7 linked regions of the Macaca mulatta genome follow. The protein of the gene in region 3 binds, or shares a complex with, the protein of the main gene of each other region. Links are inferred from orthologs where the notes say so. Each region holds a gene or a part of one and is shown on either strand. Other genes may lie near its edges. The genes, in order: TUBGCP3, MZT1, TUBGCP6, TUBGCP5, NME7, TUBG2 and TUBGCP4.

What was found.
Region 1: the proteins of TUBGCP6 (region 3) and TUBGCP3 are in contact, whole or in part, in a cryo-EM structure (PDB 6X0U), measured with the Homo sapiens proteins. The link is inferred for Macaca mulatta from reciprocal best matches to the Homo sapiens genes TUBGCP6 and TUBGCP3. Residues at the interface, in NP_065194.3 of Homo sapiens: Pro65, Arg67, Asn68, Leu71, Met72, Ser74, Phe75, Asp76, Arg78, Asp87, Glu90, Asp151; in NP_006313.1 of Homo sapiens: Pro9, Asn10, Val11, Leu13, Gln14, Glu25, Ala26, Ala29, Gln30, Phe32, Gln33, Val36, Arg37, Ile39, Gly40, Ser41, Phe43, Thr129.
Region 2: the proteins of TUBGCP6 (region 3) and MZT1 are in contact, whole or in part, in a crystal structure (PDB 6M33), measured with the Homo sapiens proteins. The link is inferred for Macaca mulatta from reciprocal best matches to the Homo sapiens genes TUBGCP6 and MZT1. Residues at the interface, in NP_065194.3 of Homo sapiens: Met1, Ala2, Ile4, Leu7, Phe8, Asp10, Leu11, Cys12, Ala14, Leu15, Pro17, Ala33, Leu37, Val40, Ala41, Ala44, Leu45, Asn48, Ile70, Leu73, Lys85, Arg88, Leu89, Leu92, Val93, Glu95, Leu96, Leu104, Leu105, Ser109; in NP_001065243.1 of Homo sapiens: Asn17, Ala20, Val21, Thr24, Val27, Leu28, Glu30, Ile31, Ser32, Ile34, Leu35, Asn36, Thr37, Leu39, Glu42, Thr43, Leu44, Ile46, Cys47, Arg49, Leu50, Cys51, Glu52, Gln53, Ile55, Asn56, Pro57, Glu58, Ala59, Leu60.
Region 4: the proteins of TUBGCP6 (region 3) and TUBGCP5 are in contact, whole or in part, in a cryo-EM structure (PDB 7QJE), measured with the Homo sapiens proteins. The link is inferred for Macaca mulatta from reciprocal best matches to the Homo sapiens genes TUBGCP6 and TUBGCP5. Residues at the interface, in NP_065194.3 of Homo sapiens: Glu290, Ala291, Ser292, Lys293, Arg294, Arg295, Cys296, Trp297, Glu298, Arg299, Val300, Gly301, Cys302, Pro303, Pro304, His306, Arg307, Glu308, Glu309, Pro310, Tyr311, Leu312, Glu314, Lys322, Arg325, Leu326; in NP_443135.3 of Homo sapiens: Asp211, Asp212, Arg213, Trp215, Leu216, His219, Val220, Val221, His222, Trp225, Ser230, Phe232, Pro233, His234, Leu238, His239, Ser240, Asn241, Leu242, Leu264, Val265, Thr266, Glu267, Thr268, Gln269, Arg272, Val302, Thr303, His304, Leu305.
Region 5: TUBGCP6 (region 3) and NME7 share a complex: the UniProt entries of both Homo sapiens proteins name them as parts of the gamma-tubulin ring complex. The link is inferred for Macaca mulatta from reciprocal best matches to the Homo sapiens genes TUBGCP6 and NME7.
Region 6: TUBGCP6 (region 3) and TUBG2 share a complex: the UniProt entries of both Homo sapiens proteins name them as parts of the gamma-tubulin ring complex. The link is inferred for Macaca mulatta from reciprocal best matches to the Homo sapiens genes TUBGCP6 and TUBG2.
Region 7: the proteins of TUBGCP6 (region 3) and TUBGCP4 are in contact, whole or in part, in a cryo-EM structure (PDB 7QJE), measured with the Homo sapiens proteins. The link is inferred for Macaca mulatta from reciprocal best matches to the Homo sapiens genes TUBGCP6 and TUBGCP4. Residues at the interface, in NP_065194.3 of Homo sapiens: Leu312, Thr313, Ala315, Gly316, Arg317, Ala319, Phe320, Phe323, Leu326, His327, Glu349, Pro390, Glu391, Ser392, Ser395, Leu396, Glu399, Tyr403, Ser455, Leu456, Leu457, Thr458, Gly460, Phe461, Lys464, Lys465, Arg468, Arg471, Tyr472, Glu475; in NP_001273343.1 of Homo sapiens: Met1, Ile2, His3, Glu4, Leu6, Leu7, Ser10, Gly11, Tyr12, Pro13, Gly14, Ser15, Ile16, Gln29, Phe31, Pro32, Phe33, Leu34, His35, Pro36, Glu38, Thr56, Ile59, Glu60, Thr63, Val66, Gln67, Gln68, Ile84, Arg87.

What each region holds. Positions count from the first base shown.
Region 1 is NC_133422.1:106,822,195-106,825,694, reverse strand, and holds part of TUBGCP3 (gamma-tubulin complex component 3), read left to right. Parts: intron 1-12; coding exon 13-131; intron 132-835; coding exon 836-961; intron 962-3,500. UniProt on the Homo sapiens protein: Component of the gamma-tubulin ring complex (gTuRC) which mediates microtubule nucleation.
Region 2 is NC_133422.1:67,480,684-67,484,847, forward strand, and holds the start of MZT1 (mitotic-spindle organizing protein 1), read right to left. Parts: upstream 2,801-4,164; 5' UTR 2,758-2,800; coding exon 2,679-2,757; intron 1-2,678. Other genes in the region: BORA (protein aurora borealis), read left to right, coding at 4,071-4,164. UniProt on the Homo sapiens protein: Required for the recruitment and the assembly of the gamma-tubulin ring complex (gTuRC) at the centrosome.
Region 3 is NC_133415.1:1,202,569-1,206,692, forward strand, and holds the start of TUBGCP6 (gamma-tubulin complex component 6), read left to right. Parts: upstream 1-1,324; 5' UTR 1,325-1,888; coding exon 1,889-2,629; intron 2,630-4,124. Other genes in the region: polyamine deacetylase HDAC10, read left to right, coding at 1-71, 276-458, 541-693, 876-902. UniProt on the Homo sapiens protein: Component of the gamma-tubulin ring complex (gTuRC) which mediates microtubule nucleation.
Region 4 is NC_133412.1:1,315,522-1,319,522, reverse strand, and holds the start of TUBGCP5 (gamma-tubulin complex component 5), read right to left. Parts: upstream 2,801-4,001; 5' UTR 2,775-2,800; coding exon 2,629-2,774; intron 2,422-2,628; exon of another isoform or gene 2,294-2,421; intron 2,221-2,293; exon of another isoform or gene 2,202-2,220; intron 143-2,201; coding exon 89-142; intron 1-88. UniProt on the Homo sapiens protein: Component of the gamma-tubulin ring complex (gTuRC) which mediates microtubule nucleation.
Region 5 is NC_133406.1:26,835,409-26,838,908, reverse strand, and holds part of NME7 (nucleoside diphosphate kinase homolog 7), read left to right. Parts: intron 1-1,182; coding exon 1,183-1,290; intron 1,291-2,396; coding exon 2,397-2,563; intron 2,564-3,500. UniProt on the Homo sapiens protein: Possesses an intrinsic kinase activity. Displays 3'-5' exonuclease activity with a preference for single-stranded DNA. Does not seem to have nucleoside diphosphate kinase activity.
Region 6 is NC_133421.1:67,018,198-67,020,594, reverse strand, and holds the end of TUBG2 (tubulin gamma-2 chain), read right to left. Parts: intron 2,009-2,397; coding exon 1,922-2,008; intron 1,807-1,921; coding exon 1,657-1,806; coding exon of another isoform or gene 1,648-1,656; intron 1,414-1,647; coding exon 1,261-1,413; intron 1,178-1,260; coding exon 1,016-1,177; intron 897-1,015; coding exon 699-896; 3' UTR 501-698; downstream 1-500. UniProt on the Homo sapiens protein: Tubulin is the major constituent of microtubules, protein filaments consisting of alpha- and beta-tubulin heterodimers. Gamma-tubulin is a key component of the gamma-tubulin ring complex (gTuRC) which mediates microtubule nucleation.
Region 7 is NC_133412.1:20,780,586-20,784,085, forward strand, and holds part of TUBGCP4 (gamma-tubulin complex component 4), read left to right. Parts: intron 1-854; coding exon 855-962; intron 963-1,980; coding exon 1,981-2,122; intron 2,123-3,500. UniProt on the Homo sapiens protein: Component of the gamma-tubulin ring complex (gTuRC) which mediates microtubule nucleation.

The sequences.
Region 1 (3,500 bases), on a different chromosome or scaffold from region 3:
ATGATTTTGCAGGTACTATGGAAATTACAGAAGCAGCTCTGGTAAGGGACATTTTGTACGTCTTTCAGGGCATAGACGGCAAAAATATCAAAATGAACAACACTGAAAATTGTTACAAAGTAGAAGGAAAGGTACGGTCACATAAAATCTAATTTAAAATATTCAGAAAGAAAAAAAATGTCATGAAGTCCAGATAGTGAGCTGTTGATTGATAAGGTGGTACTGGGATTTTGCGAATCGAGTGTGAGGTGGAATTCCACTGTGGAATCCTGGTTTCTATTTCTGTCCATTGTGCTCGTTCAGTTTTATTATGGGGACCCTTTGTGATTAATGTGTGCCTCCTTTCCTCGCATCTACTGATGGGGCCGCCCCATAGCTGATTTCTGCATCCTGCTGTGTGATGGCTGAGGCATCCAGGGGACAGAGGTCCCTTGGCGCCTTCAGCATTGATGCAGGATTCCAGGTCAGGGGTCTTCACCCACTTTTGCTTCCTTTTTCCATAACCTGCCTTTACCATGCCCATTTCTTGTGGTGTGAGTCACACTGGGGCTTTTAGCCCTTTCACAGCGTAACTGAGATCACAGACCATCTCTGCCACACCGCAGGTCAACTGCAGGGTGGTGTGAAGGGAGCTCATGGTGCCCTTTGAGGTGCTTTCCATCACGCTGTCACTTGATGTGCTTTCCTTCCTTTTAGTGATGGGATCTTAGTTTTAACTTTTATGTCTTGAAGCCTAAGGATTATAATATTAAAAGCGTAAGTGTTTGAGAAAAATACTAGTTAAAACTCTGGTATTGACTTTTAATGTTTAACATATGATGTATTTACCTTTTAGGCAAATCTAAGTAGGTCTTTGAGAGACACAGCAGTCAGGCTCTCTGAGTTGGGATGGTTGCATAATAAAATCAGAAGATACACGGACCAGAGGAGCCTGGACCGCTCATTCGGACTCGTTGGGCAGGTGTGTTCATGGTTCCTAGGATGCTGGGATGCCGCGTACTTTGGGAAACGCTTATTCTAGTTGAAATCTTACTGAGAAATAGCTCCTCCTACGGCTCTTTCCAAGTAAAGCAACTTTGAGAGTCAATTGTCAGGGTCCACTCAAGAAAGTAGAAACCACAGTAGGTGCTGATGAGGACATTGAATGCAGCAGGTTGGCTCAGGAGCTGCTGGAGGACTGTAAACCACAGAGAAAATGGTGAGACAGAGCTGGCCATGGGGAGCTGGCATTGCCCGATTCCAAACGCTCAAGGGGGGCCCTGCCCAGCTGCTGCTGCCTCCTCCGGAAGGTGGAGGAGGGGCCCTGCTGGGATGGGGCCTGCTAACAGGGGACACTCCCAGCTGCGTGACTCCCCAGGCAGCACGGTGAGGCAGGATTTGGGAACACTGCTGAAGCTGGAGATGGGAATCCGGCTATGGCTGTCTGGACAGCCCTGGGTGGGCACTGCCGGTGGCACAGTGCATGGCTGGGAGGGAGCTGCTGCTGCTTCTCCTCCTGGTGGAGCCTGACAGGGGGCAGCCGACAGGAGCTGTGGCATCTCCACTGTCCAGCCCTTCTTCGTGGCTAAGCAGCATGTGGTCTTGTCCATAGGTTGCTTATTGGACAGTAATTACTGTCAATGAAATCTCCAAAAATTACTGACTCACAAAATAACTGTGTACTATAAGCCCAGCATAGCACAGGACTCATGGCAGTGTAGCTGGTGAGTAGGAGTGTGGCTAGGGGGTAGGAATGTGACTGGTGGGTAGGAGTGTGGTGCTGCAGTGTGGCTGGTGGGCAGGAACATGACCGGTGGATAAGAATGTGGTTGGTGAGTAGACACGTGGTGTGGCAGTGTGGCTAGTGGGTAAGAACATAGCTGTTGATTAGGCGTGTAGTGTGGAAGTGTGGCTGGTGGGGAGGAGCATGGCTGGTGGGTAAGAATGTGGCTGGTGAGTAGGAGCACGGCCAGTGGGTGGGAATGTGGCTGGCGAGTGGGAGTGTGGGTGCTGGGTAAGAATGTGTGGCTGGTGAGTAGACGAGTAGTGTGGCAGTGTGGCTGGTGAGTAGGAGCCTGGGCGGTAGGTGGGAGCCTGACTGGTGTGTAAGAATGTGGCTGGTGGGAAGGAGTGTGGCTGGTGGGAAGGAGCATGGCTGATGGGGAAGAACGTGACTGGTGGGGAGGAGCATGGCTGGTGGATGGGAGTGTGGCTGGTGGGGAGGAGCGTGGCTGGTGGGTGGGAGTGTGGCTGGTGGGGAAGAGCATGAGCATGGCTGGTGGGGAGGAGCGTGGCTGGTGGGTGGGAGTGTGGCTGGTGGGTGGGAGTGTGGCTGGTGGGGAGAGCGTGGCTGGTGGGTAGGAGTGTGGCTGGTGGGGAGGAGGATGAGCATGGCTGGTGGGGAGGAGCGTGGCTGGTGGGGAGGAGCATGAGCATGGCTGGTGGGGAAGAGTGTAGCTGGTGGGTAGGAGCATGAGCATGGCTGGTGGGGAAGAGTGTAGCTGGTGGGTGGGAGTGTGGCTGGTGGGGAGGTGCGTGGCTGGTGGGGAAGAACGTGGTGGGTGAGTAGGCCTGTGGTGTGGCAGTGTGGCTGGCGGGGAGGAGCGTGGCTGGTGGGTGAGAACGTGGTGGGTGAGTAGGCCTGTGGTGTGGCAGTGTGGCTGGTGGGGAGGAGCGTGGCTGGTGGGGAGGAGCGTGCCTAGTGGATAGGAGTGTGCTGTGGCAGCATGGCTGCTGAGTAGGAGTCACACTTTGAGCTTTGAAGCAAGGCAGCCCAGGGTTCCAGTTTGGACTTCTCCTTTAATGGTCACGTCATCTTGCACAGGTTATCTTCTGTTGGCCACAAGTTTCGTCCTGCGTAGAGTGGAGTAGTGATTACCTCCAGATTGTGAAGATGGGGAGAGAATGCGTATAAAGATGCTGCTCCCCAGGCTAGGACTGTTTTCTATTCTGTTTCCCAGTCTAGTGAGTTGCTCGATGACCAGCCACCATTCTCCTTCATTGCAAAGGCAGAGAGAAGTGAGCTGGCTCTTTCTTGAGGCAGGTGGGACTGATGGGCCATCCCCTCAGCAGCCAGCTGTGATTTTAGAGTCCCTGTCCCCTTTATCGAAGGGAGTGTTTGATCGTGTCTCGGTTTATATCATCATCTTATGCAAGTGTCACTGATAAGTCCTAGTTAACTTGGTAGACATGAAGCAAGACACACACACAAAATCAATACAAGATAACGAAATAAACCGTTATGTAGATACTTTATTACAGGAGGTGGATTGATCATCACTATAGTAGTATCATATTATGTGTTAGAGCAGGGGTCCCAGCTCCTGAGCTGTGGACCGGTACTGGTTCGTGGCCTGTTAGGAACTGAGCCGCACAGCAGGAGGTGAGTGGAGGGTGAGCAGGCGTGACCGCCCGAGCTCTGCCTCCTGTCAGATCAGTGACGGCGTTAGTTTCATAGGACGTGAACCCTGTTGTGAACCGTGCATTCGAGGGATCTAGGTTGTGTGCTTCTTATGAGAATC
Region 2 (4,164 bases), on a different chromosome or scaffold from region 3:
GACCAGCCTGGCCAACATGGTGAAACCCTGTGTCTACTAAAAATACAAAAATTAGCCAGGCATGGTGGCGGGCGCCTATAATCCCAGTTACTCCAGAGACTGAGGCAGGAGAATTGGGTCCTATCCCCAGCTTGAACCTGGGAGGCAGAGGTTGCAGTAAGCCAAGATCACGCCACTACACTCCAGCCAGACTCAGTCTCAAAAAAAAAAGTAAGTGTTATGATAAAGACTCTCGTAAGGAATAACTATCAAAATTAAAATTCAGATGCATAGGATGATTTGAGAGGAAAACAAAAATTAAAGTATAAAGCAATCAACAGAGAATACCTAACATATCAAAAAACTGAAAAGCAAAGGAGGCAACCATACACAGTGGGTTGGGCGGGGGGTGTTGTTGAAAAGGCACGACTATTTTAAGAGAATGCAGAATTTTAAGGATATAAGGATGAAAGCAAAGATCTCATGCAGACCGTATTCTAAATAGGCAGGGATAGTTCTTTTCAGAGTGAGCTACACAGATAACTGATTAATACAAAGTCAGCCTGCTGCCTCCCATGTCTTTAACAAAATCCTTCCATTTCATGATCAAAATGCAAATGTAGCCAAGAGTTCTGCAATTCATATGACTTAAAGGGGGGGTTCACAAATCCTGCCATTGAGAGGAGAAATGGTACTCAAAGTTTTGAAAATTTCACTTTTGATCTCATGGGTTGATTTAAATACTGTGAAACACCACATCCCCTCTCCTTCATTTTTTGTTTTACTTCACTTTTTCATGCTCTTATTCTCTCTATAATCTTCATTTTACACCAGGTTTTCTCAGAAAAGATCTTGATGATGTAGCCAACACAAATCATCAGTTCTCAATTGTACATCAGTGGTTCCACCAGAGAGAAAATGTGAGTTTTCTATTCAAATAGGATCCTACGACCATATACATAAGGAACCTAAGTACAGCTAACATAAGAAAACAGGCTAGAAGTGAGGTCTTTTACTCTACCTTTTTCCAAGGAAACATACAAGATAGTAAATTTTTATACACACAGACACACACACACACACACACACACACATACACATGCATAAATTCACTTACAAAATAAAACTAGTAAGTGTTGATACATCGAAAAGGATAGAAAAATAGGCTGAATATTAACATTCTCAGAAAAACAGCAAGGTAGATACTGAACAAGTGAAAAATTAGATGCAAAGTCTCTAAAAATGTTAATTCTTTGAAAAAGGAACGAGCAGCCAGTGCAGAAAAAGCCAGCAGCCCTTCTGCAGGGGCTATGTAAGAAAATGAGGCCGGGTGTGGTGGCTCACACCTGTAATCCTAGCACTTTGGGAGCCCAGGTGGGTGGATCACCTGAAGTCAAGAGTTCGAGACCAACCTGGCCAACATGGCGAAACTCCGTCTCTACTAAAAATAAAAAAAAAATTAGCCAGGTGTGGTAGCGGGCACCTGTAATACCAGCTACTCTGGAGGCTGAGGGTGGGAAGAGTTGCCTGAACACAGGAGGCGGAGGTTGCAGTGAGCTGAGGTTGCGCCACTGCACTCCAGCCTGGGCAACCACAGCATGACTCCATCTCAAAAAAAAAAAAAAAAAAAAAAGCCTACAGTGAAGGAGAAAGAGATACAGGAGTTAGAATTTCATAGGGTTATCTTTTAACAGAGAGGGAAGCTGACTTAAGTAGCCTCTGGAAAACGTCTAGGCCCACTGCAAATGACATTTAACATCGATCAAACACTCATAATACAGGTGGATGTGAGTAAAAAGGAGACAAAGGAGACTACAAGAGAGATGACATCGGAAATAATATAAAAATAATTGATCATCTTTGATATATTTTTACATGGTTGTCTTATTTAAATATTCACAACTCTTGGAGGCAGGATTTTATTTTAAACAAACAGGCTCAATGTTTAAGTATCTAGTCCAAGCTCACCACAGGGTTATAAAGTGGCATTAGAGAGTAGAGAGAAGGTAATCGGCAAGACACTAATTTCGTGTTCTGCAACGCTTGTGTAGGCTCCAGAGCTTGTGTAGGCTCCAGGGCCGAAAACAGGCGACACCCATAGCACTTGGGCACTGGCGTCACCCGCTTCAAGAGGAAACTAGGATAATTCTGACGAAGGGGGGAACTTAATCATTCGCAGGATATTAAAGGCCGCCTACTTAAGTGCGAAGAACACGAGGCATAGCGGTGACCAAACACCTGGCCCCTGTCCCCGCCAGGATCCCAACCTTGGGGATCCCAACCTTGGGGACCCCCGAAGCGCCCTGCGCGGGAATCCGGTGGGACGCGGCGCGCAGGAGGGAACGGGTGTACTGGGTGGGGTGGGCGTGGCGCTGTCACCGCAGGAGATCGGGCGGGTAGGGCGGACCTGGGACGCGGGATAGAAGGGGCGCGGCATTCGCGCGAGAAGGACGCGGTGCGCAACCGGCTGACTAGGGGGCCGCAACGTCTGGCGCGCGCGACAAACTACGCAGCGGCGGAGACAACTCTCAAGGGATAGGGCCATCAGTCCTGCGGCCCTGGCAGGTCCCTTCCAAAGATCTTCGAAGATGCCGTTTGGGGCACGAAGGGGACCTGAAGTCCTCCCCAGGCTCAGCTCCGCCTGGGGGCCTTGGCTCTGGGAAGGCAGGCAACGTAAAAGGAGCGCAACTGACACTCACCGTCCATGGTCTCCCGCACCGCATTCAGATTCGCCGCCGCGGCCGCCGCCGCCCCCCCAGCGCCGCTGCTACTCGCCATGGCTAAGGCCGAGGGAGGCGGGAGAAGGGCCTGACCCGGAACTGGAGCGCCTTCCTCTCTCCCGGGCAATCACACGGCGCGTCTCCGCTCACGCCGGGCAGGCTCCGCCCCTCGCGCTCGCCGCCGGCGTGAGGCTGCGTTGATTTGAATTTGGAGCCTCGTTCCTCTGCGCGGAACGTGGAGCCAGGAGTTGCTATTCGAATTTTCTACGCGGCCTCCGTGCAATTGGTTGGTTCGCGGATGGCGGGACGACGCGATTGGCCAGTCGCTCACAAGCCCCGTGCCCTGGTTGGCCCAAGACAGCGCGGAAGCGGGGAGTTAAAGAGTCTGTGCCTGACGTGGAAGCTGGCTTGGCCCCCGGGAGCTCCCTGTAGTCGGTATTGGGGGCTTCGTTTTCTACGCACCGGTAGGTAGGTTTTTTATGGTCCCTGACCTTTCCTCCTGTCCGAATGGAGAGGTTTCTTTTCCCAGCTCCTGACTTGCCTGCCCGCTGGCCCCTGGTGAATGGGAGCAGTCAGGGAGTAGGTGTGGAAGACAGGGGCACCAGAAAGAGTGGCCACGTAGGGTGGGGGGCGACGCCTCCTCGGCGCTCCGTCCGAGGAAGCCGGCTGCATCTCAACCTTACAGAAGTAGACTCTTCTCCACCCCACCCCGCCAAGTTGTAGCCTCCTTTGATTGGAAATAATGCAGAGTCGCTTTCTATCCTGGGAGGGGTGAGGGGGAGGTCTTGGCGAAAGGAGGATTTTTGGAGGAAAGGGGATTCAAGGCAGTTAATTTCCTAGCCCCTGTCAATCATACTTCTCTGGCTAGGACTCATGTGTAAGAAAGGCACAAGCTTCTGCATCTCTTACCTGCTTGCTACAAAGAATTGTTTAATAGCAACTGTAGTTGGATGGGGTATCCGAAGAATGTTCATAGTGTTGAGACGTGAGATGATGAATTTTAAAAAAATTGTAGCTATAAGTCCTTTAGTTGAGAAGAGATTTGTGCCTGTTGTAACCTTTAGATCTGAATTCATATTTGATTGCTGCGTATAAGCCACTTCACTTCTCTGAGCTTGTTAATTCTTTCACAGAATAATATCACTAATAACTTACTGCTATAGCTTTCAAGGTTATTTCGAGGATCAGTTGAGAACATTTATATGTGATACTTTTTTCATAAGCTGTATCATAGCCCCAAGAGTGTTAGGTTTTGAGTTGTTTTTGTGACACATTTGTCGAATACATTTTAATAGGTAAAATTAATATCTATGGGACTTTGTAATTTTAACATATGTACTCTTGATTTCTCTTTAGTTTTCTCTCTGTGCTATGGGAGATGTCAAGGAATCTAAAATGCAAATAACACCAGAAACTCCAGGAAGGATCCCTGTTTTAAATCCTTTTGAAAGTCCTAGTGATTATT
Region 3 (4,124 bases):
TGTGGCTGAACATCGGGGGCAAGGAGGCAGCCGCCCTATCCATGTTCCATGTTGCCACGCCACTGCCAGTGGTGAGTGACCACGCCCCGCAGCAAGGCAGGTGCTGGGGAGCCCATGGATGTGTGCCGCTGCTGCTTGCTGGCATGTCATGATAGCAGGCCTCTGGTCCTTCCTGTCTCCCTGCTCCTGCTCCAGGGGTCCTGAGATTGAGAGGTTGGGGGGCCAGAGCCAGCAGGTGTCTGTAGATGAGGAGCTGGGCTCTGCTGTCCCCACAGATGACTGGTGGCTTCCTGAGCTGCATCTTGGGCTTGGTACTGCCCCTGGCCTATGGCTTCCAGCCTGACCTGGTGCTAGTGGCGCTAGGGCCTGGCCATGGCCTGCAGGGCCCCCACGCTGCACTCCTGGCTGCCATGCTTCGGGGACTGGCAGGGGGCCGAGTCCTGGCCCTCCTGGAGGAGGTAAGCTGGGCAGGGTGGAGGTGCTGTGGGGTGGGATGAGGGGAAGGACCAATGACTGCTTCCGTCTTCGCCCCTGGCCCAGGACTCCACACCCCAGCTAGCAGGGATCCTGGCCCGGGTGCTGCGTGGAGAGGCACCTCCTAGCCTAGGCCCTTCCTCTGTGGCCTCCCCGGAGGACGTCCAGGCTCTGATGTACCTGAGAGGGCAGCTGGAGCCTCAGTGGAAGATGCTGCAGGTGAGGCTGATTGCGGAGGCATGGCTCTGCCCTGGGGCCCGGCTCTGCCGCAGAGGTCGGTGGGGAGGGCAGGGCAAGTGAGTGCTGAGAACCAGCTCCAGTGCAGGAGGCCAGCTGCGCGCCTCCTCCCGGCTCCTCCTCCTGTAGTGCCGTCCTCACCTGGTGGTTTGAAATCGGCCAAGGTGGGTGCATTTACGCCGCAGAAATGACACCGCACGCCAGCGCCTCGCTGCCGCGATCCGGACCCCAAGCCCGCGGCTCCCACGACTCCGGGGCACGGAACCCCGCCCCCTCCCACCCCCGTCCCCTCCCACCCGTGCTTCCCCCGCTCCACCCCTCACTTCGCCTCGCCCCGCCCCACCCATCGCGCCCTGGCCCGTCCCATCCGAGCCCATGCAACCCACCCTCGGTCCCGTTCCGGCCCCTGCGCCCCGTTGCCCTTCCCTCCCCGCCCTTGCGCCGTTAGTAAACATGGGTCAAACGAAACCCTGGTTTTGCCTCCTTTACTGAACACGCTGGCCTCGATCTCTCAACCGCTGTGCGGGACTCAGGCCGGAAGTGCGCCGCGGCCCGGGTCTCACTTTCACGCGCAGCCGGCGTTCCCGTGACGTATTTCCGGCGCGCCCGCCCTAGCGCTCTTCACGCTCGCGCTGCTGTGACGCGACGGAGGCGGCGGGAGCGGGAGCGGTGGGCTTTTTCCACAGGTGACGCCTGGAGAACGGGTGGACGTGCAGGCCGGGAACCACCCGGCTGCGCCCCCACACTCTCCGCTGCCCACGAGTCTCGGAGTGGCACCCTCTCCTGGTCGTCTCCTCTCGTGGGGCCCGAAGAACGGGGCAAAGCCGAGTTCGTGCGCTGTACTGCGCGGGCGCGCGTTTCGTTCTTCGGGTTTGCCATGGTTCTGTGACTCCCTAAAGGTTGAGGGCTACTGAATTGGAAGAAACGCCAAGCTGGCTTCTGGGGGGCTGCCGGGCGCCGGGCAGCGTGCTTGGGCTGGGGAGGGCAGGGCGTGTTTACTCTGAGTAGAGCAACCGCAAAACCTCCTTTAGAAAATACCCGTTCTGAGCTGCGGCGTTGGAGAGGCCGCCTGTCGTTCAGCCCCTTCAGACCCTCTCTCACTCCGTCTTCCGGAGCGTGAGTGAAGCCCGGGTGAGGTGTTTTCCCACACGCCGGGGGCCCGGAGCTGAGAAGGGGCATGGCCAGCATCACGCAGCTGTTCGACGACCTGTGTGAGGCCCTCCTGCCGGCTGCCAAGACTCACCTGGGCCAGCGCAGTGTGAACCGGAAGAGGGCAAAGCGGAGCCTCAAGAAGGTGGCCTACAATGCGCTTTTCACAAATCTTTTTCAAGATGAGACTCAACAGCTGCAGCCTGACATGTCAAAACTACCAGCGAGAAACAAGATCCTCATGTTGTCCTTTGACTTGAGAGTGGGTGGCCTGGGCCTCGAGGCCGACCGTCTGGAGGAGCTTGTGGAGGAGCTTGAAGCAGCCCCTTGCTGTCCGCTTTTGGAGGTGGGGTCTGTTTTGGACCTCCTGGTTCAGCTGGCAGGGAGTGGTCCCCCTCAACTTCTGCCGAGAAATCGAGACTACTTCCTTAACAACAAGCACGTGGGGAGAAACGTTCCGTATAGCGGCTATGATTGCGACCACCTGAGTGTGTTTGAGACGGACGTTCAGTCTCTGATCTCCAGAGAAGAGTGTTTGTGTCACAGCATGATCCAGGAAACACTTCAGGTTATGGAGGCTGCTCCAGGCACCGGCCTGCCCACCGTCGGGCTCTTCTCATTTGGTGACTCTTGTGGTGACAGGTTTGAGAGAGACACCCGGGTCTCGCTCTTCGGGGCCCTTGTGCACAGCCGCACTGACGACATGGACGTCCGACTGGGCCTGCCCCCCGTGCCAGACAATGCAGACCTCTCTGGGCTGGCCATTAAGGTAGAATGTTTGGTTTTTCCTCTTTCACCTTTCTTGGGGTTTGGAAAATGCTTTCTGTGACTTTCTTTTTTTTTTTTTTTTTTTTTTTTTTTTTTTTCAGACAGGGTCTCTGTCACTCAGGCTGGAGTGCAGTGGCGTGATCTTGGCTCACTGCAACCTCCACCTCCTGGGCTCAAGCAATTCTCGTACCTCAGCCTCCCGAGTAGCTGGAATTACAGTCACCTGCCTCCACGCCCGGCTAATTTTTTTTTTTTGGAGATGGAGTCTCGCTCTGTTGCCCAGGCTGGAGTGCAGTGGTGTGATCTCGGCTCACTGTAACCTCCACCTCCCAGGGTCAAGTAGTTCTCCTCCCTCAGCCTCTTGCATAGCTGGGATTACAGGCGTGAGCCACCACGCCCAACTAATTTTTGTATTTTTAGTAGAGACGGGGTTTCACCATGTTGGCCAGGCTGGTCTCCAACTCCTGACCTCAGTTGATCCACCCACCTCGGCCTCCCAAAGTGCTGGAATTAAGGTCACTGCGCCTGGCCCAGTGACCTTCCTTTTATCCTGGTAAAAGGGGGGATAGTCTGGTGGCTGCATTGTGGGGTGGGGCTACTGGAGTGGACTTACTGGCGGCCACCCTGCTCTGCAAGGACAGTGCTGCCCACCTGCCGGCCAAAGCAACGTGCTGCTTTTCATCTTTACCTAACGGGGCATGTCATTAAGCCTCCTCTGCCTTCTAGAGCTGCCATTTAAATTTAAGTTAATTAAAACAAAATAAAAAATTCAGTTCCTCAGCCCCACAAGCCACATTTCAAGTGCTCAGTAGCCACGTGTGGCAAAAGTGTTCACGTTTTGTGATACGTGCAATTGGATATGCTTTTGCTGTCTGTTGCCTGAGGCTTTCCAACATGGTCCCGTGTAGCTCCTCATTTGAGTTTTGTATTTTCTTGCTTTATCAGTGTTGCCCAAAGGATACATTGTTACTAGTCATTCTATTCCTGTGAGATAGCTAGACAATTTATAAACATACCTAATGCTACAGCAAATGTCTTGGTGTACAGCAGTTTTGTGTTTTGTTTTTGAGACAAGTCTCGCTCTATTGCCCAGGCTGGAGTGCGATGGTGTGGTCTCGGCTCACTGCAACCTCCATCTCCTGGGTTCAAGTGATTCTCCTGCCTCAGCCTCCTGAGTATCTGGGACTCCAGGCGTGTGTCACCATACCCAGCTAATTTTTATATTTTTTTGTATTTGTATTTTTTTAAATTTGATTTGATTTTTTTTTTTTTTTTTTTTTGAGACAGAGCCTTGCTCTGTTGCCCAGGCTGGAGTGCGGTGGCACGATCTTGGCTCACTGCAAGCTCCGCCTCCCAAGTTCACGCCATTCTCCCACCTCAGCCTCCCGAGTAGCTGGGACTACAGGCGCCCGCCACCACGCCTGGCTAATTTTTTGTGTTTTTAGTAGAGACGGGGTTTCACTGTGTTAGCCAGGATGGTCTCAATCTCCTGAGCT
Region 4 (4,001 bases), on a different chromosome or scaffold from region 3:
ATAAAAACAATGATTATAAAGCTATCTTAAAAAGATCTATAAGAAAATACATGTATTTTAGGATGTGTACATACATACACTGACTTACCCTTCTATTGTTTTTTCTATTTTGTGGCTGTTCACATCCAAGAAACGATGAAATCTAATAAAGACAAAATGCAATTCTTATGCCAACTCTGTCACACAGGTAAGTGAACTCATCTCATGGCCCTCCACATCCCCCATATGCTCTGTACTCAGCTACACACTTCCAGAATGGAGTGTACCTTGTCTTCAGTTACCTCCACCAAGACAGGCAAATAATCACCATGTCCGAGACTGTGCAAGCAACCGTTCTCCAGCACACAGGTGCTTCCTGACCCTCCCAACCTTGGCTCTGGCTCCTCTGTCTTCCCATAAGACCCTGTATCTAAATCCAGCTGAACACATTCTACATCAGGTGGTCCCAATCTTTTTATGCTATAGTGAGGCCCACTGAAGCCTAAGGATCCCTTCTCTGAATAATGTTTTTAAATGCCAAAAACGAAATACAAAGGAATCCAATTATACTGGGGTACAGTTGTCAAATATTTCAAGAAGTTTATGATATGGCAAGAAATGTTATTTATGAAAGTATTAAATAACAAGATTTAGCAGTAGGTACAATAACTACCATTAAAGTAACAGTAAACAACATTTACAAATATCTACAACTCTGATGTGAAAACAGTATGTGAATTCTACTGGCGATAAAGTCACAGGTAGGCTAATACTACTATGGTTTGCTGCCTTCATTTATAATGGAAGGAGATGCTACTTTTCAGTTAGAGATTAGTATAATTTTTTCCTCATCCAAATTAACAAATATCTGAATTATATCTCCAGATCCCAAGGTTAAAATCCCTTTTATCTCTGTCTTTTTTTAAAGACAGAGGCTATATCTTACTCATCTTTGAATTTCTAGGGCCTAGAATTCTAAATGGCCACAATTTTTTTTTTTTTTTTTTTTTTTTTTGAGACGGAGTCTCGCTCTGTCGCCCAGGCTGGAGTGCAGTGGCCGGATCTCAGCTCACTGCAAGCTCCGCCTCCCGGGTTCACGCCATTCTCCTGCCTCAGCCTCCCGAGTAGCTGGGACTACAGGCGCCCGCCACCTCGCCCGGCTAGTTTTTTTGTATTTTGTAGTAGAGACGGGGTTTCACCGTGTTAGCCAGGATGGTCTCGATCTCCTGACCTCGTGATCCGCCCGTCTCGGCCTCCCAAAGTGCTGGGATTACAGGCTTGAGCCACCGCGCCCGGCCAATGGCCACAATTTTCAACAATGTAAACATGAACTATTCATTTTTCTGATGGTTTAAAGCATCATAAAATTATAGCATAGCCTATGCAACTAATGTATATGTATATAACATAGCCTATGCAAAAATTGTTTCCCATTTTTTAGTATCAAAGCCAGCAATCTGTACTTAAAAGAAAAAAATTACAATACTGAGAAACACATGAATCTAGTCCAGTAAATGGGTGAATGGTACACCACTTTACCTATTATAATTTAGTTCCTGAAACCTGTGAATGGAAACAGTAACCTCTAATGTCTCTCCCACCTCTAAAATGATGACCATCTGCCTACTGTCATTTAGAAATATTAGTAAAAAAAACTTGAATTTCAGCATTTAAGTTTTTGTGTTGTATAACCTATTTCACACATTGTTTATTTTTGTAAGTCACATTTAAGAATTCAGTTTATTACTTCGGAAACTCGGCATGCTTTAAAAGAATATGAAAGCCCCGTATTCCTATTATAAGCCAACTAGACACTTTATGACTATGATCATTAAAGTAACTAAAATTACGGATTTTAAAAAACTGTTCATTATTCAAGATTTTTACTGAAATTAAACAGGTAGAATATTAACATTAACATTCTCTTAGTAATTTCATTATGGGTAATGACTATAAAAGTATTGTTTAATTTCCCTCTCCCATAAAGAAAAATAGATCTCACTCCACGTATACATCTAAATTCTGTAAGTCTTTAAAAACTAGTTACAAGAGAAACTGCATTAGAAATTGCATTAGCTGACTAAGCCTGCTACGTTGTCAGGCGCTGTGCAGAGATGCAGCATTCTAGTTGGAGTGGAAGCGGAGGAGACAGTCATAACAGGTAAAATCAATGTCATGACACGCGTTTTGTAAAAAGGAGAGCAGGGTGAGAGAGACCTTACACTGGGCTGACCAGGGAGCAGGAGTCAGTGAGAATACAATCTCTTTAATTAAAATAAAATAAAATAAAATAAAAAATTATAGAGATGGAGTTGCTACGTTGCCCAGGCTGGCCTCGAGTCCCGCCTGCGGCCTCCCAGAGCGCTGGGTTGCAGGAGCGCGCCCCGGTGGCAAGAAACCCAGTTCCGCGCTTCCCCCCGTGACGATCAGGACGCGTTCCAGGTAACACACCGTGGGGTGCGCAGAGCACCGCGCCGAGGGCGCTGGCCGGGGGGAGTGGGCGGCGGCAGGGCCTGCGAGGGCTCTCTGAGACCGCGTCCGCCTCAGCCCCATGCCCCGCCCCAGCGCACCCCGACCCCGGGCTGCGCCGGACCCACGCGCGGGCTCCGGGCTGTGTCCCGGGACCCGCTCGCGCGCCGCGCCCCACACCTGAAGTTGGACCAGGCGAAGTTTAGGGCGAGCTGGAAGTTGGGGTCTGCTTCGTCCGGGAGGCCGGCGACACCCCGGACGAGCTCCCGCACGTCGCGCTCCTGCTGCGCGTCCAGCCAGCTCAACGGCGGCCCGTGCCGCGCCATGTTTCGCGCGCCTGCAACGCGCTTCTAACGAATTGGTTGCTGTCGCGCGAGAGTTCGAGGTCCCGCGGCAGTTGCCCCCGAAGCTGGCGGCCTTCTCGCGAGAGTTCGCCTTCCCGTGCCGGGCAACTAGCAAGCTGGCAGTTATTCTCGCGACAGTTCGAGCTCCTGCTGTGGTGGGTACTGCCTGGAGCAGTCCCATGGTGGCGGCTCGAGTGTGCATATTCTGGTCGCCCGACTGTACATTTTCTACTGTACTCAGAGTTAGTTGGTGTCATCGTGAATTAGATACTTAAGGGTCTCTGGCCAGCCTCGGTGATAGTCAGTGCTTTTGAGAGCAGCCCGTTAGGTGCCCGGTCGGGAAATGCGTTGGGACCTGCCTTTCCAGGAACCCTGACCCGCTCAGCTGCTGAACTCTCCCGGCCATGCAGCTTCTCCTTGCAGTGATGGTCCCCGCGGATCTCAGTGCCCCCATCCACACAACACAATCACGCTACGCACATCCGTGCTACACAACCAGCATCAGCGAAGCAGCGGTCCCGACCGGCTAGCAGTCCCGGCTCGCTTTTACTCCGCCTGCTCCTCAGGGGCGGTTGGGGGGACTTCATAACCCCACCTGGCCGAAGGTACTGGGAATGGGGACTTCATAACCCCACTTGGCCAGAGCTGCTTGGGGGACATCACAACCACACCTGGCCAGAGGTGCTGGGAGGACTTCACAACCACACCTGGCCAGAGGTTCTGGGGGACTTCATAACCACAAATGGCGTGTGCCACCACGCCAGGCTAATTTTTGAATTTTTTAGTAGGGACGGGGTTTCGCCATGTTGGCCAGGCTGGTCTCAACTCCTGACCTCAAGTGATCCATCCACCTCAGCCTCCCAAAGTGTTGGGATTACAGGCATGAGCCACCGCACCCGGCGGTGTCCTGAAACTTTACTGAATTCATTTATAAGTGCTAACAGTTTTTTGGACGAATCTTTGGGTTTGTTTAAATATAAAGTCACATCATCTACAAACAACGACAGTTTGACTTTCTTTCTAATATGCATGCTTTTTGTTTCTTTCTGTGGTCCAATTGCTCTGGTTAAAACTTTGAGTACTATGTTGAATAAGTGGTGAAAATGAGTATCCTTGTTTTGTTCCAGATCAGAGAAAAGGCTTTCAGTTTTTTTCCCATTTAGTATAATACTAGCTGTGAGTTTATTTTATAAGACATTTATTGTGTTG
Region 5 (3,500 bases), on a different chromosome or scaffold from region 3:
TAAAAAGAATCCCCAAATTTACCCTAACCAGAGCATCAGATGGCAAATCCAGAATTAGCAATAAAACTCCTAGATTCCCTTCTTCCCTATGCTTTTATTTGCTTATTATAATGAAGGGCCTTTGGGGCGAGGGTATTTTTACTAACATATATAATGGGAAATCCTGCTCGATAGTCAAGGGAAAAGGACCCATCTTTGACTTATTTTTTTTCATTTTTTGCTCTCTGTGGTAGCCCTAAGAATGTACTTCACAGACCTCCAACTACAGGCAACCTAAATGACCAAGGGTCCCAGCTGCTGTTCTCTGAAATCCACTGCTGCTTTTGTGCTGAGCACTTGTTTCCCAAAGGCTGCTCCCAGCCAGTGATTGAGAGGAACAGGGATACTAAAGCTGGCCCCTCCGTGTCCTTGGGAGTCACCTGGCTCTAGCACTTCCTGATGGGCTTACTGAACCTTCCTTAGAGGGTGTAGCAATCTGGGATGATTCTACTTAACCTTGCTTGCACCTCTCCACCACTCTGTGTCAAACTTGCATTGTTTTTTGTCAGCTTTTCTAGTCTTCCTTGGCTCCCTCCTCATTTTATATTACAGGAATTTTCCTTAATGAAATTCTTGCATGTTCAGTCTTGTCTTCACATTTATTTTCAGAGGTCCTAGACTAACACATTCTCTATTTCTATAAAAAGATACTATCATATGTAATTACTAAGGAAAAAAGATGTTTACTATAATTTTAATGGTAATATTCTGATACTACTAGATTCTCAAATTTAGGGAAGTCAAAACTTCATATAATTGAGAGCTATCCTCAGAAATGTATGCTTATATTAATTTATTGATAGTCTCTATGTAAACTTGCTTTCAGAAGGACTGAATTGCTACCACAGTAAAATCAGGAGCTCATGTTCTCAGAAAATGTTAATTTACTCAGGATGATTAGATGGCTATAAAGTAATAAGCAATCCATAAGTCATCTCTGAGATATGAGAAATTAAAAGGAAATATTTCTGAGGGTGTGTTGATAACTGATATTTTGTTGAAAAGCAGAAAAATTCAATACAATAGGTAGGAGTAAGTTTGTTTTTTGCAAATTGGTAATTCTTGCTTTCATTTTGTGTGACTTACAGGAGAGTGCTTGTTCTTTATATGTTAGTGTTAAAATTCTTCTGTCTTTCTTTGCAGAGTCATAGTGAAAGATTCGTTTTCATTGCAGAGTGGTATGATCCAAATGCTTCACTTCTTCGACGTTATGAGCTTTTATTTTACCCAGGGGATGGATCTGTTGAAATGGTAAATAAGTCTTTCTTTGCTTGAATGTCGGCAAAGGGGGTGAACATGGGAACCATTGCCTTTTATATAATTGCTTTTTAAAAACACATTTATATGTGTGTGTGTGTGTGTATATATATGGAAATTCTTTTTAAAGATATTCATTATAATTTCAATATAAGAAGTTAACTTGTGCCTTTACTTTTAATGTCAAAGATAGGAAATTTTTTTTGTTGTTGTTAGAAGACTGAAGTGGGGGTCGGGCACGGTGACTCATGCCTGTAATCCCAGCACTTTGGGAGGCTGAGGTGGGCGGATTACTTGAGGTCAGGAGTTCGAGACTAGCCTGACCAACATGGTGAAAACCTGTCTTTACTAAAAATACACAAAATTAGCCGGGTGTGGTGGTACATGCCTGTCATCCCACCTACTCGGGAGGCTGAGGCAGGAGAATGGCTTGAACTCAGGAGGTGGAGGTTGCAGTGAGCTGAGATCATGCCACCGCACTCCAGCCTGGGGGACAGAATGAGCCTCTATCTCAAAAAAAAAAAAAAAAAGAAAAGAAAAAAAAAAGACTGAAATGGGATTATTCATGTTTTGGATAAGAAATAACCAATAAGTGATTATAGATAAGGATTATTATGGTCATAAATATGTCCTCATTATTGAAAGCTGTTACTGCTACAAAAAGTCAAATTGAGAGGATCAAGCTAAGAGGCTTCTGTTTATTTCTTTGTGTTTCTTCATTGGCAACACAATTTTAACAAGTGGATCTTTTTGGTATTGGGATTTTGTGTACACAAAAAAGCAGAAATTTGGGTGTATGACTCTTTCTTTAGCATTTTGTAAGGACTACTGAAATGATTTGGTAATAAACAGATCTTTCTATTCAGGGTTTTAAGAGTATTAAATGTGTAATAAAAAGCTTTTATGTTATTACCAGATTGGATTCAGAAATATGGAAGTAATTAAAAATTATGATTTATATTTGTAACAAAAAAGAAACAGAATATAACTTATCTTTGATAAGACAGAATTAAGAATTATTTCTACCTTATGATAAGATTAACTTTCCTTATTCATAAATTTTGTTTGTTTGTTTGTTATATTCTTGTGTCTGGTTCTAGCATGATGTAAAGAATCATCGCACCTTTTTAAAGCGGACCAAATATGATAGCCTGCACTTGGAAGATTTATTTATAGGCAACAAAGTGAATGTCTTTTCTCGACAATTGGTATTAATTGACTATGGGGATCAATATACAGCTCGCCAGCTGGGCAGTAGGAAAGAAAAGTAAGAAAACAATTATATAATCTTTTTACATTTTGTAACTTTGGGTTCAAAGTCAATCTGAATCAAGACTGGGAGTATTTAACCATATGAGGATGGATAGGACCTGGAAAATGGTTGTCTTCATTCTGTCTTTTTCTTTTTTTCAATTAAAAAAAATTGATAATATCATAGTTGTACATGTCTCATCTGACTTAATTCATATTTATGTCTCCTATGCAACTTAGTACATCTCAGAGATACAGTCATCTGTAAAAGGGGCTAAGAAAAAAACGGAAGTGAGAAAGAACAACTTGTAGATACAGCTGAAAATTAGACTTATAGAAAACAAGGACTTCTGATGTTTTCCTTCTGAATATTGATTTTCAGTATTTTCAAGATGACTTTTTAACTTTTAAATTCTCTACATTTATGAATTTCAACTTTCTGAGATTAGAATTAATTATATTTGAAATGAAAATTTAAGTCCTTTGTCATCTCTTTTGGATCTAATTTCTGTAGCTTATATTTTGTATGGTTTGGGGACTTTTTTTTTTTTAACTGTAGAGTGATTGGTGCTATAATTAAAATAGGGATTATTTGTAGAAGTTAAGGCTATATGTATAAAAGGTTCCAAAAATGATTTAATTCAATAGGAAAAACAAATCAGTCACACTATTTTTTGAGATCTGCTACTCAAATGACTAGTTGATTGCCTAACATCTGAGTCACTCTCATAGTAATGAGATATCTCTTTCTGTGACTTCCATAGTCTTTCTGTATAAGCACTTTATGGTTCTTGAGGTGATTGGATTCTCAGTGTGGGTGTTAGTACACAAAGGGTGATGGATCAGAGGGGTGGTGAATGCCTCGTAACAAAGGAAGACCAAACACTTTCTTTGAAATAGGATAAAAATTACAGGTATTAGATAAATAAACAGGAATCTTTTAATGTTGTGGG
Region 6 (2,397 bases), on a different chromosome or scaffold from region 3:
TTGGGGCAGATAACAAACCCATGAATTTCTCTGGCACAGAAAAGTAACTCAGGATGTGCTCAGCCCTACTCTTGAATTCTGTTTCTACTAATCAGGTTAGGTTGAACTGGATTGAGTTCCTGGAACTCTCATGGCCCTGGGCACTGGGAATCTGGAGTCTCGGCTCTTCTGGCCTGCTCGTAATGTAGCGTGCCCTCCTTCGGTAGACCCCACCTCCTCTGCCTTGAGTGGAAGAGGTTGGGGCAACATTGACCCTCACTGGGGCAAACCTTAGGCACTGAGGAGACAGCAAACCTCAGTAAAGCTCTGTAATCTTGAGACAAGGGCTGACTCTAGTAAAACAGCTTAGTTCAAGGTGAGGGATGCCAGTGGAAACAGTGAACACACTAAGATTTGGACTTAGTGGTAAGACGTTGGAGGACGTGAAAGCCACCCTACTGTCAGAGGCCTAGAAACTGGACCCCTTCACCACCCCCTGTATTCACAGATCAAGCCCTGGCTATACTGACAACCAAGCTTTATTACTTTATTAAAGCTGAACAAGCATATCAAGAGTTAGGGCATGGAAGGGAGGAAGCAGGAGGAAGCTCATGGGCTGGAGATGAACCAAGAAGGGTTGTCCATGAGGTGAAGTTGGGTCAGAGGGAGCAGGCATGGTCGAGGCTGTGCTTCCCATCCAGGAGTAGTGGGGAGGGAAATCACTGCTCCTGGGTGCCCCAGGAAATGTAGTCTGGCTGGGTGGCTGCATGGTACTCATCAATGAGCTCCTGAACAACCTCCCTAGACCTGTCCATCTCATCAAAGTTGTCCTTGAACATGTCCTCCTTACGGAACTGCTCAAGGAAGGCATCCCGCTTCCGCAGCTTGTCGAACTGCTGGCAGGAACTTTCAAAGAGCTGAAAGAGATGAAAATCTCCAAAATGCGAGCCAGGGGGTTAGGAGTGAACTTGGGGAAGATGATGAAGGTAGCCAGTGGAACAGACTCTTCCTGAGAAGAACAGAAACCTAGACTCACCGAGGAGATGCTGGTGTGGTTGGCCATCATGAGCCCACTGACCCGGTGGGCCGAGGGCAGGTAGGGAGACTTCCTCGATAGGGCCACTTGGATGCTGGCGGGGCCCCACGGGATGAAGTTGGCCAACTTCCGTTCCCGAATCCTCTGCAGGCTCTTGTGGACCTGGGGTGGGCACACGAGCAGTGGAGGTGGCCTCTCCTCTACCCCTGCGGGTCCAGGGTGCGGGATGAAGGGGCCTCCCCTACCTGGGTGGGGTCCACCTCTCCCTGGATGATGTTGAGGATGGCGATGTAGCAGTGGTTGGTCTGGCGGTCTCGGCCTGTGGACACCATCACGTTCTTGGGCTGCAGCAGCCGCCTCATCACATCCAGGACCGTGGTCTTCCTCACGCTGGCCACCTGATGGGACAGTGAGACAGGAACCCGGCCAGCGCTCAGGGCAGAGTCCCCCTTTGGCTTCTCCTTGGCAGAAGCCAAAGGCAGAGGGAGGGTAGAGCGCAAGTCAGCAAGAAAGTCCCTGAGCACAGTGCCTCGGGGCCCGCAAAGGGCAGCTCCTGGGGCAGTGGGGAAGACAGAAAGGCTAGGGCAGGGCCTGCTGGGCCCAGGGCCGGCCTGGCCTGGGACACTGAAGGCTGCTCTTACTGATTGGTCCGTAGTGAGCGGTGTGTAGCCGGTCATGAGGAAGTGGAGCCGTGGGGTGGGAATGAGCGAGGCGATGAGGCCGATGAGGTCATTGTTCATGTAGCCGGGGTAGCGCAGAGTGGTGGTGCTGGCAGACATGATGGTGGACACCTGGGGACAGGCGTGCCATGTCATGGGCCTCGGCCTGGTTGGGACTTTCCTTCCCCAGATGACCCTCCAGCAAGGAGGGCTTCCAGTCCAAAGGAGTCCAGGAGTGGGGGCCCACCAGCTGGTTGATCTGGGAGAAGGACGGGTTCTGGATGTGCAGGCGGTCTGTGGCAATCCGGTTCAGGGCTGTGTTGTCCAGCACCACCTACGGGGACAGAAGAGGGTCACAGCATCTTGAGGATAAAATGGGCATAGAAATAAGATATTGGCTTAGCCCCTGCTGAACTCCAAAGCCAAGAAGTAGGTTTGTTAGTTTAAAAAAAAGTACTGCTGGACGTGGTGGCTCATGCCTGTAATCCCTGCCGTTTGGGAGGCCAATGTGGGAGGATCACTTGAGGCCGGGAGTTGGACACCAGCCTAAGCAACACAGCAAGATGCCATCTCTGTAAAAAATATACATAAAAAATAACAGAAAGAAAAGTACTGTTTCTGGGGCATCATGAGATACTCTCAGACTACGCAGGGCAGTAAACAAACCCGTGAGTACCCACATGTGCCATACACTGTGCTTGGCTCTGGGGAGACCACAGAGAG
Region 7 (3,500 bases), on a different chromosome or scaffold from region 3:
GGCTATGCCTAGTTCAGTGAAGTGTCCACCCCTTGACCAACTGATGGCCATTTCCATTCATACTGCATGAATAGAGTTGAGTAAAGATCCAAAAAAAGAAATGTGAGAAAATACATACACACAGGCTGATCATTTTTCTAACTCAGTAAAACCATAGATGTCCACTGTACTTACATAGTACAAATATAAGTACTTGTGGTTGCAAATATCAGAAAATCCAATTCAAACTCACTTAAGCAAAGCAAAAGGAAAGAAATAATGTATCGATTCTCATAACTGTAAAGCTCAGACGTATGATGGTTTTCGGCAAAGTTTGATCCAGTGACGCGGGTGGCACCTTTAGGACTTGGTCTCTTTCCATCTTTCACCTCTTTCTTCTCAGACAGGCCTGCTCTGTATGGTAGCAGATAGTCTCTAGCCAAGTTTACATCCTACTAAGCCCCTGTTTATCTTGAAAAAAGAGCTGGATTCTTTTAGAGTCTGAATAGAGCCTCTGGATTGGCCTGGCTTGGTCATGTTAATATCCCTAAACAATATAGCATAACAGAGTAGAGTATTACGTTCTATTTGATCATGCCTACATCACCCAGCTACCCCTAGAATCGGGTGTTGTCTAGCACTAACCCACTGGAAATATGTGAACTGTACTGAATAGGGATGATTCTCCAAGGAAAATCAGGAGGCAGTTTGTCAGCAAGAAGAGAAGAATGGATGGATGTTAGACAAATGCAACAGATGTCCACTGTGCCCTGCTGTTAGCACTGGGCATGTTGGGGGAGAAGTGGAAAGCTGGAGGAGTCTGGGTTTGTTACGGAGCCAAGCATCCTTGTCAGCCCCCGTGTTCTTTCTTGCAGATGTGAATGTGGCCTTTCAACAGTCAGCACACAAGGTTTTGCTAGATGATGACAACCTTCTCCCTCTGTTGCACTTGACAATTGAGTATCACGGAAAGGAGCACAAAGGTTTGCTGTTCCTCCCTGTCACCTTAGAGTTCCTGCTGGTCATCCATTTTCCCATCTCTGCTTCCATCCCCCACCATAGAAACCATATGATTTTGGATCTTAGAAATCAGGTAATGCAGTACTATAATTCTATAGAGAAGAAAAGGAAAGTCCAGAAGTCCATAGAGGCTAAGCGCGATGCCCAGGCCATGTTTTTGGGGGGTTGGGTTTTTTTTTGTCATGCTGCTGGAATGGTCCCTGTTTATTTCCAGCCCCCAGATTTTTTTTTTTTTTTTTTTTTTTTGAGACGGAGTCTTGCTGTGTTGCCCAGGCTGGAGTGCAGTGGCCGGATCTCAGCTCATTGCAAGCTCCGCCTCCCGGGTTTTTACGCCATTCTCCTGCCTCAGCCTCCCGAGTAGCTGGGACTACAGGCGCCCACCACCTCGCCCGGCTAGTTTTTTGTATTTTTTAGTAGAGACGGGGTTTCACCGTGTTAGCCAGGATGGTCTTGAACTCCTGACGTCGTGATCCGCCCGTCTCGGCCTCCCAAAGTGCTGGGATTACAGGCTTGAGCCACCGCGCCCGGCCCAGCCCCCAGATTTTAAGGCTGAGGAAAGAATCTCTAGAAGACCTCCCAAGAGAACCTCACGTAAAAGTGTCCTTGCCCTCTTCTTTGTGTCCGCTGTAAGCTTCTAACATCGCAGACTCCAGTGAGCTCTGTTTCTTTTCTTTTGGAGACGGAGTCTCATTCTGTTGCCCAGGCTGGAGTTCTGTGGCACAATCTTGGCTCACTACAACCTCTGCCTTCCAGGTTCAAATAATTCTCATGCCTCAGCCCCCTGAGTAGCTGGGACTACAGCCACCACGCCCAGCTAATTTTTGTATTTTTAGTAGAGACAGGGTTTCACTGTATTGCCCAGGCTGGTCTTGAACTCCTGTGAGCTCTAGTTTCATTAATGTTATTCACTTGTTGAATCTCTGGTTCTAGATTAACCAAGTTGTTATCTTTTCTTTTTTTCTTTTCTTTTCTTTATCACAGCAGATGCTACTCAGGCAAGAGAAGGGCCTTCTCGGGAAACTTCTCCCCGGGAAGCCCCTGCATCTGGCTGGGCAGCCCTAGGTCTTTCCTACAAAGTACAGTGGCCACTACATATTCTCTTCACCCCAGCTGTCCTGGAAAAGTGAGTATTTCTGAGTGTCTCACAGGTAAATAACGACCCACCTTACTTGTAAGGGAAGAAACTAGCAGGACAGAATTAGCAAGGTGTGGTGGCACATGCCTGAAATCCCAGCTACTCCAGAGCCTGAGGCAGGAGGATCCCTTAAACCGAGGATTTCAAATCCATCCTAGGCAGCGTAGTGAGACTCCATCTCGTAAAAAAAAAAAAAGAATTAATGGGAGCAAGATAGCCACCCAAGTAGTTTTTAACAATATGTAAATCAAAAGTTGTCAACCCCTCCAGGGACTAGACTGATCACATTCATAAGTGGAGCTGCAGATACGAGACACGGAGTGGTGGGTGTTAGAATCAATGGAGAGCATATCTACTTCAAACCATCGTTTTTTTAAATTGCCAAATCAGCAGCAGTTTGTAGGCCGCCAGTTTGTGAGCTCTGGAAAATAAGGTCTCAGGCACCATGTCGAGATAATGGCCCTTGATAATTCCATCACACCTGACAAGGTCTCTCCCTCACTTTTGTAATATTTTTTGTTGATTGACTTGGGAAAGTCCTCCAGCCTGCATGTTTGCTGTGGATGTTAGCCCCTGGGGAGAAGACTGCCTCTGTAAGGGAGAGCCGACAGGGGCAGCCAAGCTTGGGGGTGGAACAAAGGAGCTGACCAAGCTGGAGTCTCCTGCTGTCAGGTCAGCCTCGCTCTTTATCATGAGAGCCTGCCAAGTGCTGTTGCTTGCCTTGGTCAGGACCTAATGTCCCCAAACCAGAGATCTACAGAAAAGAGGTAAGAAGCAAATGTGGCTGGTGGTCACACCGTATCTAGGAACTTCCCAAACCCAACTACTGGTCAGAGAACTGGCCCCTGGCCTGGATGGAGGATTGAAGCTGTCATACTCTGTGAAGCCAGAGGAATGAAGAAAAGGGAAACAAAAAGGCCATCTCTTCTTCTAGCCGCCACTCTTGATCCTTCCTATTCTTCTTCCTAGCCCTCTCTACTTGTTTCAGGTAGAGAAGCTTAGGGTAAAATAGACTGGGCATAAACTGGAAAAGATGAGGCTGGTTCAGGAAGAAGATTCTATGGCAAATTCAGAGCCCACGGCCCAGCTAAGCAAGTGGCATGGACCCTGTGCAAAGAACTTCCAAAGATCCTTAGCTCCCAGAATCCTACAGGCCCACAGTCCGCTTACCTCCTAACTTGATATGCTCTCAACACCCTTGAAGAAATCAAGTTTAGATGTATTTTTTCATTTTCATTATAAAAATTTCTAAATATAAACAAAAGTATAGACCATAACAAAATCGTGTGTCCTCATTATTCACCTTCAGTAACCATCAACATTATACTACTATTATCTGTCCCTCCCCCACGTTTTTGTTAGAGCT